Medicago truncatula: one gene and its partner. Each later gene encodes a partner of the first gene's protein in a complex. Links are inferred from orthologs where the notes say so. Each region holds a gene or a part of one and is shown in the gene's direction. Other genes may lie near its edges.

Evidence for each region.
Region 2: DNA-directed RNA polymerases IV and V subunit 5B (region 1) and DNA-directed RNA polymerase V subunit 7 share a complex: the UniProt entries of both Arabidopsis thaliana proteins name them as parts of the RNA polymerase V complex. The link is inferred for Medicago truncatula from reciprocal best matches to the Arabidopsis thaliana genes RPB5E and NRPE7.

Annotation. Positions count from the first base shown.
Region 1 is NC_053044.1:5,364,160-5,371,508, reverse strand, and holds the start of DNA-directed RNA polymerases IV and V subunit 5B, read left to right. Parts: upstream 1-4,288; 5' UTR 4,289-4,367; coding exon 4,368-4,625; intron 4,626-6,654; coding exon 6,655-6,831; intron 6,832-7,349. UniProt on the Arabidopsis thaliana protein: DNA-dependent RNA polymerase catalyzes the transcription of DNA into RNA using the four ribonucleoside triphosphates as substrates.
Region 2 is NC_053042.1:37,142,267-37,149,947, reverse strand, and holds the start of DNA-directed RNA polymerase V subunit 7, read left to right. Parts: upstream 1-4,649; 5' UTR 4,650-4,811; intron 4,812-5,919; 5' UTR 5,920-5,963; intron 5,964-7,681. UniProt on the Arabidopsis thaliana protein: DNA-dependent RNA polymerase catalyzes the transcription of DNA into RNA using the four ribonucleoside triphosphates as substrates.

The DNA of each region.
Region 1 (7,349 bases):
CTCGGCTAGCTGATGAGTACCAAACCGCACTTTCTGATCCTCCGTGCACTGCATAACCCGAAAAATCCTCTCAATCTCCTTAAGCCACGTCTGGGCTCCATCAGGGTCATAACGTCCTTTGAAAGTCGGAGGGTTCTTCTTCATGAACGTCTCCAACATCCTAGCTTCAGCATTCGCACCGGCATTCACGTTAGGTTGTTGTCCCACAGCTTGGGCAACAGCTTGTAGAGCAGCAGCTAACGCAGCATCATTTCTTCCAGCCATTTCCGAGATTCTACAAAAGTAGCAACAACAACATAAGATAGTAATATAAATATTACTAAGACTCGACACGACTCTCTAATTGACCGGACGGACCGACCTGCTCTGATACCAATTGTAACACCCCGTTTTCCCAATATTTAAAATTTCTTTAAAAACATAACATTTATCAGAGTAAACATCAAACAACGGGATATCACATATAACGTAATCCAACAGTTAAATAATAATTTAACCAATATCTTAAACATTTGCAGCGGAGAATCTTAACCATAATTCATGAAACGTTTTGGCACGCAGGCCCAACAAGTATCTCAATAGAGTTAATCAAAACAGTAAATATTCATGGCAGTTCACGTAAGAGAATGTAGCATGTTATAGCATAAAACCCCATCCCGTTACGTATCAGAGCGACCTAGACGACACAGTGAGGCAAGACCACTCACAGAAGCAACTGCACACTAAGCACGATCACCTGCAAGTTACCCATACGAAGGGCAACATTTTCAAGCAGAAGGGGTGAGATTTCATAATAAAATAACATTAATCAATGTAATTGCGAATCATAAATTAACATCATAATCATTCCATTATTAGCTTTGCATAAAGGCTAAACAGTTATCACGTAATCATATATCCAATTCATTACGAACAACGTAACATAATCAATAAACACTTATCACGTAATCACATATTCATTCATTATCAACAAGGCATCTTAATCATGACAATGTGACAATGCTCCTAGACTCCTTATATGCATGTGGTACCAATCGTCATCATAAGTATTAATATACTTTAATCGTGCGGAGGACAAAGCTCCTATAAAACGTGCGGAGGACAAAGCTCCTAATATTCGTTGTGAGGACTAAGCTCAATGATATGCTATGCATGGACACATATGAACAAAACATCGTAATCAACTTATCAACATGCATCCAATAATTTGGAGCTAAACTTCATCATATACATATGCACTTAGTTAAATAACGAAAGCAGCATAAACAAGTCACATAACAAGATGATATCATTATATCAAAGCACATAACTTGTATCATTAACACATCTTCTTATCTTGCATGAATATACAATATAATAGTTCATATTCAATTGATATTAATATAACTTAAACAACTCTACAGTCTGCATTAAACGACATCACTAGGTCTCACTACCAGTTAGGGGTTCACTCTTGATCAACAAGTGCGACACAGATCGCATAAACACATAAACAAGTTCATCCTAGTTGTACTCGCGAGGCGAGAGTACTTACTCGCCATGGCGAGTAACACTCATCTCCCAAACTAAGGTTGTTCTGGGCTCCCTCTGATCCTACATTCATTCCTAATCAATACTAGGTATGTTCAGGTACTCAAAGGCATACAAGATTCAACTAAAAAGGTCGAAACACGAAATATGACATGCACTCTGCCTAAGCTCGCGAGGCGAGGAAGGGTTGCTCGCCATGGCGAGTTGCGCCAAACAACTCGCGAGGCGAAGGGAAGGGGCTCGCGTGGCGAGCGATGAAGTTCATCACTCGCGAGGCGAGGATCATCACTCGCCGTGGCGAGCGATGAACAGAAGCACGGGCAGACTAGGGTTTTTCTCAAAAATTCATCACACAACATGGTTCAAGGCGTGGTTTTGATTCCAGAATTCTTCCTAAACATATTCTAAGGTTAAAGGACGGTTCTTTCATCAATCTAACAAGTTTTACCGTTTGATCATCAATTTTTAGGGTTTTGACCTAATTCCAAAACTTCTCTAAATCAATCCTAACTTTGTCAACTAATCATCAGAATTACAGTAAATAACATTATTGAATTATTAGTCTCACCCTTACCTTGTATGAAGAAATCGCAGCCCTCACTCTAGGTTCCTCTTCTCTTGGCTTTTTCTTCCTTTTCAAAAGTTTTCACGTACAATGAGTTTCTAAAAAATTAGGTCTTCTCCTATTTATACCTCTTTCTAATAACTTATCTTATCTCACTTTCTCCCCCAAAACTATCTAAAATATCAAAACAGCCCTCAACTAAATATTTTATATTATCTTCAAATCTTTATTCTATTTAACAATAAAATAAATCTCATATCATAATCAAATCCTCCAAAACTCATAACTTATCACGTCATCAATCAAATCATCATAAATCATCAAAACATACCAAAATCATGCATATATTATATAATTATAATATAATCACCTAAACTCGATTAAATAAACGATTAAACGAAAGTGGGCGTTACAGGTCCAGCCCTGCATGAGAGAAATAGAAAAATAATCTTAGGATAGTAGAAAAAGAAGAGAAAAAAACTAGGTAATATTCATAGATTCTTATGACAATGAGATACCGATGATGGAGGTGAAATCGATAAAAGGAAAAGAGAAACTTGAAGAAGATGACACCTCAAAAGATGAGGATGCTAATTTTCAAAAGGTCATTAAAGCCTTAGCAACATTTATAACAAAGACACTAATCAAGGAAATGTTTAAGCAAAGTCCGTGTTGTGTTAATTTTCTTCAAGACATTAAGAAGGCGACAACCAAACAATGAGATGAAGAATTTGTCTCTATAACAAAAAATTGTTGTGATATTATTGAAATACAGGTCCCACAAAAAGCTTGAAGACCCATGAAGCTTCAATGTTCCTATGATTATGTCCAATGATTATAGGAATTAATCTCTCAACGATGCATATGAGCACTTTAAGTTACTACACAAAAGGAGCTTATATCATGTAATTGATGAACACAATCAAATACATATTTTCACACAAGGACTCGAGGGCCAAACACAATGTTTTTGGATGCCTCAGCTAGACGCCATATGAAGACCAAGTACGAAGAAGTCAAAGACCTAGTTGAAAATATGTCACATAATGAGTATATGAATATGCGAGTAATAGTACAACACACACAAATCAACGCATTGTTTGGTTCAACTTTTGAAAATCAATTATCACCTTCAAAAACAATTCTCTTTTGAGGTTAGGATTCATAGCTTTTGAGTTAGCTAAAATTAATTCTACATTAAACCACCATTACTTTTATTCATTGTCCTCTTTAATTGTCATCTCTTTCTTTCAACCTTTTTTCTTACCGTATCCATTATAGTAATCTTACATTCAAAAGTAATTTTGATCAAAATTATTCAAACAACATTCATTTTGTTTAATCAAATCTACATTATTATATCCAAACATAAATCAATTCTACTAAACTCAATTGTGACAAAATCAATTCCGTCAGAATCAATTATACCTGACTCAATTCTCTACACACACTCAAAGACCAAAGTAGGGTTGGCGAAAAAATCCATGCACGCGGGTATTTGTGGTTAAAATCCGTAATGGGCACGAGGCGGGTAGCTAAACGTGAACCAGCAGATATAATAAACGAGTATTTAACTACCCGTTACTTTATGGACACGAACACGGATTTGATGATACCCGTGTCCGCATGTATTTGTACCCGTTAATAAATTAAGTAAATTACTAAAATATCCATCTGTGCGTGTCTATATATATTGACAAAAGCGGTGAATGACATTGTTAGTGAATGTTATAAGATTTTATTTCAAATATCATTGTTATGTCGATTTATTTGGAGGTTTCTATGCTTTTATTTCATGAAGATTTTAGATATTTGAATTTTATTCCAACCGTCGCTTTTTGAATTATGGTATGAATTATATAATTTGAATAAAACATGTTATATATGGATGTTTAAAAGTCGAAGTTTATTGGTAATTAAAAAAGTATTTTCATTGCACAAAACAAAATAAAAAATTCATAAGTACCCGCGAATATTCGTGGGTATCTAAATGCATATGAATTATCCACACCAGCACATATATATATATATAGGAGCAGACACGGTTATCATATTTATCCAAAGAGGCGGGACGGATATCATGTTACTAGTACCGAATACCCATTGACATCAATAGACCAAAGTCATTATTACACTTTTTTATTTTTTAAATATTTTGTGAAAACGACAAAAAAGATCGTAACGGAAATTAGTGTTACATATACTCCTTCTCTACTAAGTTTCCTACTCAACAAAAAAAAAACTGCAACATTTTTTTTTTGTTTTGGTGAAAATGGCGATGATTGAAAACGGAAACGAAACAAGAAGCGAATGTTTGGTTCGTATATGCAATGAAGAAAGCAACATTGAAACCATTCGTTACTTCGAATGCAGAAAGACTCTGATGGATATGCTTCATGATAGAGGCTACAATGTCTCTGAATCTGATCTCACTCTTTCTCTTTCTGAGTTTCGTTCACGTTTTGGTGAATTTCCTAAACCTCATACCCTTGGTGTTTCTGTTTCTCTTCGCTCTAACCCCTCCATCAAGGTATTATTCAATGTTACTGATTTTCTCAGGTTTATTCACGAAACTATTTCAATGTTTTGTTGCATTTCGTTTCCATTATTATGTGATGTTGAATGTGTAATTGATTTTTTTGTATAGTGAGGCGAAATTAGTGTTACATTAGGGCATGTTTTTTCATTAAAAACCATTACTTTAAAACTTTCATATGATTTTTTTAAAGACAAATGTAATTAGTTGTTAAATTAGTTTTTAGTTGAGCTATACAACCCCTAAAAACTTTGATATTTTGGTTAAAGTTTTTTTTTTAATTTTTTTTATGGGCTTTTGAAAGGAAAAAATAATCTAAAAATTGCAAAATGGAAAGCTATAGTGAGTAGCTTGTCTTCAAAATCTTTTTTTACATATGATTATTTTAAAAATGAAAATATGCGTATAATATATGCAAGGTCAGGGTTTAAACCTTGACCATCACCAAGAATTACTTTTTTATTTCTTAAAAAATCTCTAAAAAAATTTTTGTAAATAGTGACCATAATTTCACGTTTAACATCGTGTGTAATCTCGAGCTCGAACCAGTCATGCATATTTCATTGTCAACTGAGCTATGTTCATGACACTTAAAAAAACATAAATTATTGAATGACAAAATAAATATTTTATTAGATTTAACAAACAGGCCCTTAGTGTTTTTTAGTAGAATTCATTTATCCAAAAGTGATTCTGATTCGAAACTGAAATTTAGTTTTTGGAATTGATTTTGAATCTGACAAGTGTGATTTTGAATCCTTCATATGTGATTTGTTGTTTGGATGGATGAGTTGATTGAAATGGAGAAGATGGAAGGTTTTTTTTTTGTATTTGTTTAATTTTGATTTGATTTTGAATATCTTTTAGAAAATGAATGTTTTTACATGATTCAATTTTATAACATTGTTTCTGTATGGCGCTGTATTGGTATTTTAATGGGAATAAGGAGGTTTTTGAGGTACTTTTTGAAACATATGAAGGTCTCAGTGGCAGAGCATGTCTTTTTTTGCATATGAGTGATGCCTATTTTTGTTGCTCTCAAACTTACATGGATCGTTATGTATTTGGATACTCTCACAATCTTAATATGCTTCTGGTTGGTTTCATTATTTTAATTGGTTTTGTTTTGTATCATACTGAACATGAATACTATAGTAATTTTGAAGGTCTAAAGAGCAATAGTTTTTATGTTATTGCTCTTCCAATTGATTATTCATAAGGAAAAAGTCACCATATTTTCATATGTGATTTCTCTCCATTTTGCTGCAAAAGTCATTCTCTGTTTTTGGCTAATAATTGATGAAAAATACAAAACAACAAGAATATTTTTCGCAAAATGTTTTCACATGCTAGCAAACGATTGAATGAGAGTGCATACTAACAGTATGTACTGATTCACTCCATCCAAGACCCAAAACTAACCTTAACTGTGGTGAAATTTTGGGAATGTTTTTGCTTTATATATAGATAGTCATTTTTAACTTTAGAATTTGAGTTGAGACAACTCCACAAAACTAGGTTGTAAGACGAGGGATGTTCACCACTTATAACAATATTTAGGCCAAATTAGGATCAATAACTTTTGGTCCAACAAATCTAGAATAGACTCTGATACCGGCTTAGAATTTGGGTCGAGTTTAACTCAACTCAACCTCACAAATCAAACATACACGGAGAGAAATGATGGCAATTTCAATTCAGGTTGTATCACTATCCAATGTGACCCTCAACGGTTTAATAATAACAGAACTGTTATGTGAGAATGAATTATCTTCGAACTGTTATGTAAGGATAAATTATCTTTGAACGGTTATGTGAGTTGTGATTCCTTTCATCAATCTTGGGTGACATAAGATTCCCCCTCATTTGTTCAAGATCAGTTTCATTTTTTGTTCTACGGCCGAATGATTTAACTGTTTGTATGTTTTTAATCCACTGTTACCTAATGCCGTAGAATGAGGGGTGCTTTATACATTCACTTTTGTGATTGCTGTACTGTGGCTCAGGAAATTCTGCTTTGCAGGTACAAGTTGTTTTCCCAGGAACGGATGATATCAGAAAAAGCAACTTGATTGTTATACAAAGCCAGATTGTGGACAAAGAAAGGTTGAGTAGGCTGATACTTGTTATGCAAAGTAAGATGACTTCATATGCTCGTAAAGAATTGGAAAACTGTCCATTTAAAGTTGAGATCATACAAGTAAGTTAGCCCTTTCATGAATGTTTAATTTTTTATTCTAAGTTTAAATATTTTGGTGCAGAAAATAATTAACCTTTTTTATTGTTTTAGTTGTTCTTGTAAACTATGCATAATATGTTAAGGAACTAGGAATATATGTAAGCCCTCTATTCTGGAAAGGTAAAATGGATACATGAAATGACTTGAGCTTATGCATTTTAATCACGTATGAGAACTGTATTTAGCTGTTTTAGCGCACAATCGCACATTATCTATAAGATGACTTTAATTTTTTCCCCTGTAACCACAAGTTCAGACCAGAGGCTTATTCATCAATATCTTTTGCAGTTTTGTTTTAGTGTTTACTAGATATATTAGGAAGCTTCATCATGTTGATGCAACACTATATGTCACACATTTCATTTTAGATGAAGAAAACATTGAAAGGGTCTAAAGATATTTTCATTTATAATGCGATTTGATTTTGAATTTAAGATTTGTGTAAACGAAATCAGCAATTGGTTCCACTTAAGAGTTCC
Region 2 (7,681 bases), on another chromosome or scaffold:
GAATTGAATTGAGGTGATGATGTTATAAATAGTTTAAATGTTTTAGCATGAACAGTTTTTATAAAGGACAACTTATTCTGTAAATCAAGGTTAGTTTAGTGAATGATAATTTATCCCGTGTATTTTATTTTATATTTTCTGAAAGTTTAGTCAATGTTCATTTATCCCGTGCATATTAGTTTATGAGGGTTCAATATCATTATAGATTTGAAGTGAGGTGATATTATAAATAGCATGAACGTTTTAGCAAGACCATTCTTTTATAAATAACAATTGGTTATGTGTATAAAAGTTAGTTAGTCAACGACAACTTATTTTGTACATTTATTAATTAATTGTAAATTTCTTTTTATGATAGTTTTTAAAATTTCCGCCACACCACACGCACTACTACGAGTCTGTTTGGTTAACCCCAAAAAAGAGCTTTTAGCTTTTAACTTATAGCTTATAAGCTCGTTTGACAAAAAAAGCTCTGTTTGGTAACACTTTTTCACCATGAGCTTATAGCTTATTTCACGAGCTTATAAGCTATTTTTCAGAAGCTATTCCAAGTAGCGTTTGAGCTTATAGCTTATAGCTTCTCACTTTTTCTTCCAATTTTACCCTTATTATTTCATTTAAATTGTATTTTTATCCATTATAATTTCTATAATAAGCTAAGTAATAAAGACTACTACCCCTTTATTCCAATTTTTGTATATATATCAGCAGGTTTTTTTTTTTTTTTTTTTTTTTTTGAAAATATATATACCTTCGTTTTTTTTTTACGAAACAAAATACTATTATTCTATTAGTGTTACTTTTTTTTTTTTTTTGAGGTAAGTGTTATTTTCTTTATTCTCTGTTATTAGTATTACTCTATTAGTGCTACCTTTTTTTTGTTTTTGAGGTAAATGTTATTTTTTTTTATAAAGTGGAAACACTTAAATGATAATAAATATAAGATAAAATTTTAGTGAATAAAATTTAATTTAATTTATAATACATAGGATATATTAAATTAATAAATTTAAAGTATTTTTTTAAAGAAAAGTTAGTTTATAAAATTACAAATACTTAAATTAATGATATAATTTTTATTATGAATTAAGAATACCCTTTATGTCATTTTACATTTATCAGCTAGTTGAACCGCTATTTTTACAAAACACTTCAGTTAGCTTATCAACTAAAAGCTATAAGCTATCAGCTAGTTTATCAGCTATCCGCTATTTTTACCAAACAGAGTCTACCACACTTCAACTCTATACACATTATCACTCTCTTTCTATTATTCACTTTCCGAAATCCTCACACGTCTCACATATCAATGACATTTTGACTATATATATTACGGCTTGTACTGTGCATAATAATTATTTTTAATTTTTACCATGGACAATTCTACCTATGTATAATATTTATTTAAAAATTTGTATCCCTGACGACTTGTCCTATATAGAATAGTTAGTTTAAAATTTGTATAATTGTTGACTTGTATTGTACGTTATAATTATTTTAATTTTATGTTATTGACAACATCTCATGTGTATAATAATAAATTTTTAAATTTTCAACAGTGACATTGTCTATAATCCTTAAAAAAAAACTTATATCGTCTATAACAATTATGCTAAAAAATTTATCAGTGTCGATTTGACCTGTGTCAAATAATTATTAAATTTGAACATTGAACACTTATCAAGTGTGAAATAAAGATTTTTAAAATTTATATCAACGTCGATTTGTCTTTTGTGTTATAACTATTTTATTTTATTTTATCAAAAACAACCTGGCTCATGTATAATAATTATTTTATAATATGTAGCTTAGTATTTATTTTGCACATCTAATCAATACAATCTCGTGTATGTGTTTAACGGTGATGATAATTATTTCTATATTTTTATTTGTGTCGACTTGTCCATTATATAATAATTATTTTAAATTTTTAACAATGACAACTTCTTCTATGTATAATATTTGTTTTAAAAATTTGTGAGACTGACGACTTGTCCAATGTATAATAATCATTTTAAAATTATATTATTGGTGAATAGTCACATGTATGACCATAGTTTTAAATTTTTTATCAATAACTAACATGAGCAAAAATATTGGTGAATAGTCACATGTATAACCATAGTTTTAGTATTATTATTTTTTTTTTGAGAAAAATAATTTTGAAATTTAAATAGTTAAATATATTATTTTTTATAATTTTAATATTTTTAAATAGTTAAATATATAATAAAAATTAATTGAGTGGTATTAATTTTGAAAGAGAAGATAACAGTTTCTCTCTCTCCCGTATACCATATATTTGAAAGGGAATTTTTATTTATTTTTTTGTCAAAATTTTAAAAGGAACTTTCAAAAAAAATATTGAGATAAAAAAGTTTTGTTTTTAAATGAGTTAAAAGAAAATAGGACGAGCTTCTTTAAATTTCGACCCATTAATAGCCAATAGCCCAAATTATAACACTAGAATAAAGAAAATCATAAACCAAATATTCATTTCAGCTTCTCATTCTCTCTCTCACATTCAAGTGTTCTCCACCCGCATTAGAAACCCTAGCAGCTGCCACTCTATTTCTGGCGACTAACCACTCCGACCAGCCTTCTTTTTCCAAACGAAATGCATACTATTGAAGCTCTCTTTCTCTTTTCTTTTTTTTTGGTCAAGTAGCCTAGTGGCTATAGCTCACACAACTTATTTGTGGAGAAGTGGGGTGTCCGGGGTTCGAACCCCGGCCCCTGCATATAATATGCAATATCCCTACCAACTGAGCTAAGCTCACGGGGATTATCTTTTTATATATATATATATATATCAGTGATGACATGTCACATGGTTAATAAATATCTTAAAATTCATATCGGCTAAAACTTGTCTCTTTGTGTTATAATTATTTTGAATTTGTATTCAATGATAACAAATGATGTGTATAATTCTATTATTTTTTTAAGTTAGTTTTTCACTTACGTTATGGTTTGAATAAAAAGGAGAATAATATTTTTTTGAAGGAATGAGAATAATGTTTAATAATATATATTAGTGTATCCCTTGTCTCGTGTATAATAATTATTTTATAATATATATCAGTGATGACAAATCATATGTTCAATACTTATGTCCTCGTGAGCTTAGCTCAATTGGTTTGGATAATGCATAATATATCCAAGGTCTGGGGTTCAAACTCCGACCACTACCAAAATATGTTCAATACTTATTTTAAAATTTATATCAGCATGTCTTGTTTATAATAATTTTTAAAAATTTTGCGAAGTGACAACTTGTCTCGTTTACAACAATTATTTTAAAATTCTGAAGTGATGAGTTGACCCTTGTATAATATATTTTATCAATCTTTTTTAAAACTTGTCTTTTAAACTATTTATACATCGTCTCTTACTGCCTCACTTCAAATCTATACACATCACTCCTCTTCTACTACTCTCTTTGGTATGTTGTACGTATCAAACGATCAATGTTTTACCGTTATTTTTATGTAACAATGAAATATATTTACCTTATGTTTTTATGAATATAAAAAAAATTAAATTTTAATATTCATTAATTAATGTAACAACACGTCTTTAGATCTTGTAAAAAAACACGTCGTTGGATATATATATATATATATATGTGTGTGTGTGTGTGTGTGTGTAAAATAACATTTATTAAATTATATTTTTAGAGGTTAAATAAACTACTACTATTTTTTTATTATTTGATAAAGAAATTAATATTATTATTATTATTTTTTATATATTTTTTAAAGAATTTATTTATTTATATTTTTATTATGTTACACTAATTTTGCAATAAAAAAAGTCTATACCCCTTTACCTCTTTCTATCTCGAGAATTGCTGTTCCCACATTACATAAGACTGTGCCACACGAGTAAATGACATTTTTACCCCTGCGGCAGTTAATTACCGAAGTTTGGAACCGGCTGCAGTTAACTACCGAAGTTCCTTCGGCAGTTAACTGCCGACGAAAAAAGTTAAAAAAAAATAATAATAAAAAACCTCGGCATTTTAGTGGCACTTTACTGCCGAGGAATTCATCAATTTTTTTTTTTTTTTTTTAAAACAAGGATCTACAATCTGTAGATTACAAAAGCAATATCAGCACAATAAAAATTTGATATTTTTTCTTTTTTAAAATTACAAAGCTATTTAGTACATGGAAATGTATCCAAAGAATCATCCCACCTTTCCACGGCCTTCAATCAACTTGACATTAAAATTTTTCAAAATATTCTTGTAGATGCCACTAAGCCTCAGCATTTTTATTTGCAAAGTGATGGATCTGTCAGAATTTTCATACATCAAAGTTAAATATAAGTCCGAAAGCTATCCCATGCCCATACCAATTAAACAAAATGAAAAAGGAAAAAAAAATAATTATGAGTTCCTCGGCAGTAAAGTGCCGAGGTTTTTTTTTTTCGTCGGCAGTTAACTGCCGTAGTTCGGCAGTTAACTACAGCCGGTTCCAAACTTCGGTAGGTAACTGCCGCAGAGGCATTTTCGTCTTTTACATGTGTTTTTCAGCCCTATCATATGTGTAAACAGCAACTCTCTTCTATCTCGTACAAACCTAGTGTATTTTTTTATAATTTTCTTTTTATTTTATTTTTTGTCATTTAACTTTATTCCACACACACCATATTTATTTCAAAGTTAATTTTCTCTCTCTTGACCAAAGAAATCTGGAAAACTCTCTCATTCTCAAACAAACCCTAGCCGCCGACTCCTCCCTCCTTCAGTGTGTCTCCGGCGGTCGTTACATTGCTCCACCATCTTCATCCTCTCCTTTTCATCTGTAATTATACTCTATCAAATTTATTTCAAGTCAAAATATTGATTGTGGTGGCATTAGTTTCCTACCAACAAAATTGCTCTGTTCATTCGTTGGTTTAATTATTAGCATCTAATGTATACTTTGTATTTAAGAAGTTTATGTGCCTTCGTAATTATGTATATATACTGAGACTCCAGTTTTCTGATTCCTCTCAACAGTAGTTGATAATTTTCTGTTTTGCGTATCACATTGTTTCACTTTTTCTCTGTTTTGCATGCTTAACGATACTTCACTTTTAGGGTTCTATCACTATACCCGAATTTCACTTGCTTTGTTTCTCTTATCAATATATTAATGTGCATGGCTTTCTCTTGTTTTCTTTAAATTTTCTGTTAACTATGTGTTTGTATAAAAATCTTAAAATTTAACCTTTGTCTAACTTCTTCCCCATTGAGTATGGGGTTTGTGTGTAAAATCAGTTTCTGGAGAAAAAAACACTGTAATCCATAGGTTTTTCTTAACTTTTTGCATGAGTTTTCAGCTGCCTCATGCATTTTATCGTGTATTGGTGATACTACAATTTATGTTCATGATGTGGCTACAACCACTGAATATGGTCATTGTTTTAAGTCCTTGTTTGGATAAACAGCTTATTTACCGTCTATAGTAAGAGCATCATGATAAGTGCTTATTGATATGACTAAAGATAAAATAAAGTTAATTTATTTTCGTATAAGCTGTAAGCTGTTTTCATAAGCTATCTGAGACAACTTATGGAAGTAAGCTGAAAACACAAAACAGCTTATGAACAATGTCATAAGTTCTCCCAAACAGTCTCACAAAACTTATGTCAGTAGATAAGCTCAAATAAGTCGATCTAAACAGACGGTTTTCTTTTTTAACCTAGCTACCACTACTACTGCACTGCTAGTTACTACATGTTAAATGATCTGGGAATTTATATTTTCTGAATTTTGTCGAATCTGGTTTCGCATTTCAGGCATAAAATTTGTATGATTACTTTATAATTCAAAGGGTCTGAATACGTTCTTGGTTTATGTAGTTAGTAGGACAATGTGTATCTTTATTTGAAAAGCTTACGGATCCCCATGTTTGAATATCTTTGCAGCCACGATCTCCCTCCTCGAGTTTCTTGCTGCACTTCTTCACTCGGTTAGTTTTTTTTATCCCTCTCAGCAATATTTGGTATCTTTTTTTTTTCTTCCGTCATCACATTGTTTCAAACACTTAACGATACTACCCCCTTAAGGGTTCTATCACTTGCAAACAAATACGAATTTGACTTATTTTGTTTCTCTTACCAATATATCAATGTGCATGGCTTTATTGTTTAGTTTTTTTGTTTTCTTTCAATTTTCCGTTAAGTATGTGTTTGTAAAGAAATCTTAATATAACCTTTGTCTAAATTCTTCTCATTGAATATGGGGTTTGTTTGTAAAATCAGTTGCTGGAGAAAGAAAAAAAATTGCAATCCTTGGATTTTGTATTTTCTATAGCCAAATCATGCACGAAAATTGCAGTGTCGCCATCTAAGATAAAATGCTTATGGAAGTTGAAAACTTCGGCTCGTTTGCTTTGTAAAAACATTTTCTATTCCCATTTCGATATGTATTTTATCTTTAGAAAGGTGACACTACAATTTATGTGCATGATTTGGTTATAGCCACTGAATATGGTCGAAGTATTTGTTAGCTAGCTATCACTTCTACTGCTCTAGTGCACCGGGTTGCCCTTTTTTTTATCACTTCTACTGCTCTCTTAGTTACATGTTAACTACTGATATGAGAATTTATATTTTCTGAATTCTGACGAATTTGGGTTTGCATTTTTAAGCATAAAATTCGTATGAATATATTACAATTCAAAGGGTCTTAATTAGGAAAGACTTTTTATATGTTCTAGGTTTATGTAGTAAGTAGGGACATTTGTTTTTTATTTCAAAAGACGTGAACTTGAAAAGCTTATGTATAATGTGTTTAGATGATTTCTACAATCATAACTCCATCTCCTGGTAAAATATTGATTGTGGTGACATTAGTTTCCTTTCCTACCAGCAAAGTCACTTTTGCTATTCATTATTGGTGATTCCAAGTAAACTACAATTTGCATATGATTTGTCAGCTGCCTTATGCATTTTATCTTGGATTGGTGATACATGAAGCACATATACTCCTCGGATTAGGCGTGTCACGGTGTCGGATATGTATCGTGTCTGACACCAAAACATATGATTACATTGATTTATGTCATTTTTTAAAATTATTATCGGTGTCAACATCACCGTGTCATGTCCGTGTTTGAGTCTGTACTTCATATACTACAATTTATGTTCATGATTTGACTGTGGCCTCTGAATATGGTCATCATTGAAATCTTTTTTAACTAGCTATCGCTTCTACTGCAGCTGCACTGTTAGTTACTACATGTTAACTGATCTGAAAATTTATATTTTCTGAATTTTGTCGGATTTGGTTTTATACTTTTAAGCATAAAATTTGTATGGTATTTTTATAATTCAAGGAGTCTGAAATAGGATTTTTTTTTTTTTATATGTTCTTGGTTTATGTAGTAAGTATGAAAATGTGTATCTTTATTTGAAAAGCAGTGAACTTGAAAAGCTTATGTATATCTGTGTTTTGAATAGTTTCGACATTCATAACACTATGATCTCCCAGCATAATATTGGTTGTGGTGACATTAGTTTCCTAGCAACAATTCAATTTTGCCATTCATCGGTTTAGCCATTACCATCTATCTACTGTATACTTTATATTTAGAGAATTTCTGTAACTTTGTTATTATGTATATATACTGATGCTCTAGTATAATTTGGCTACAACCACTGAATATGGCCATTATTTAAGTCTTTT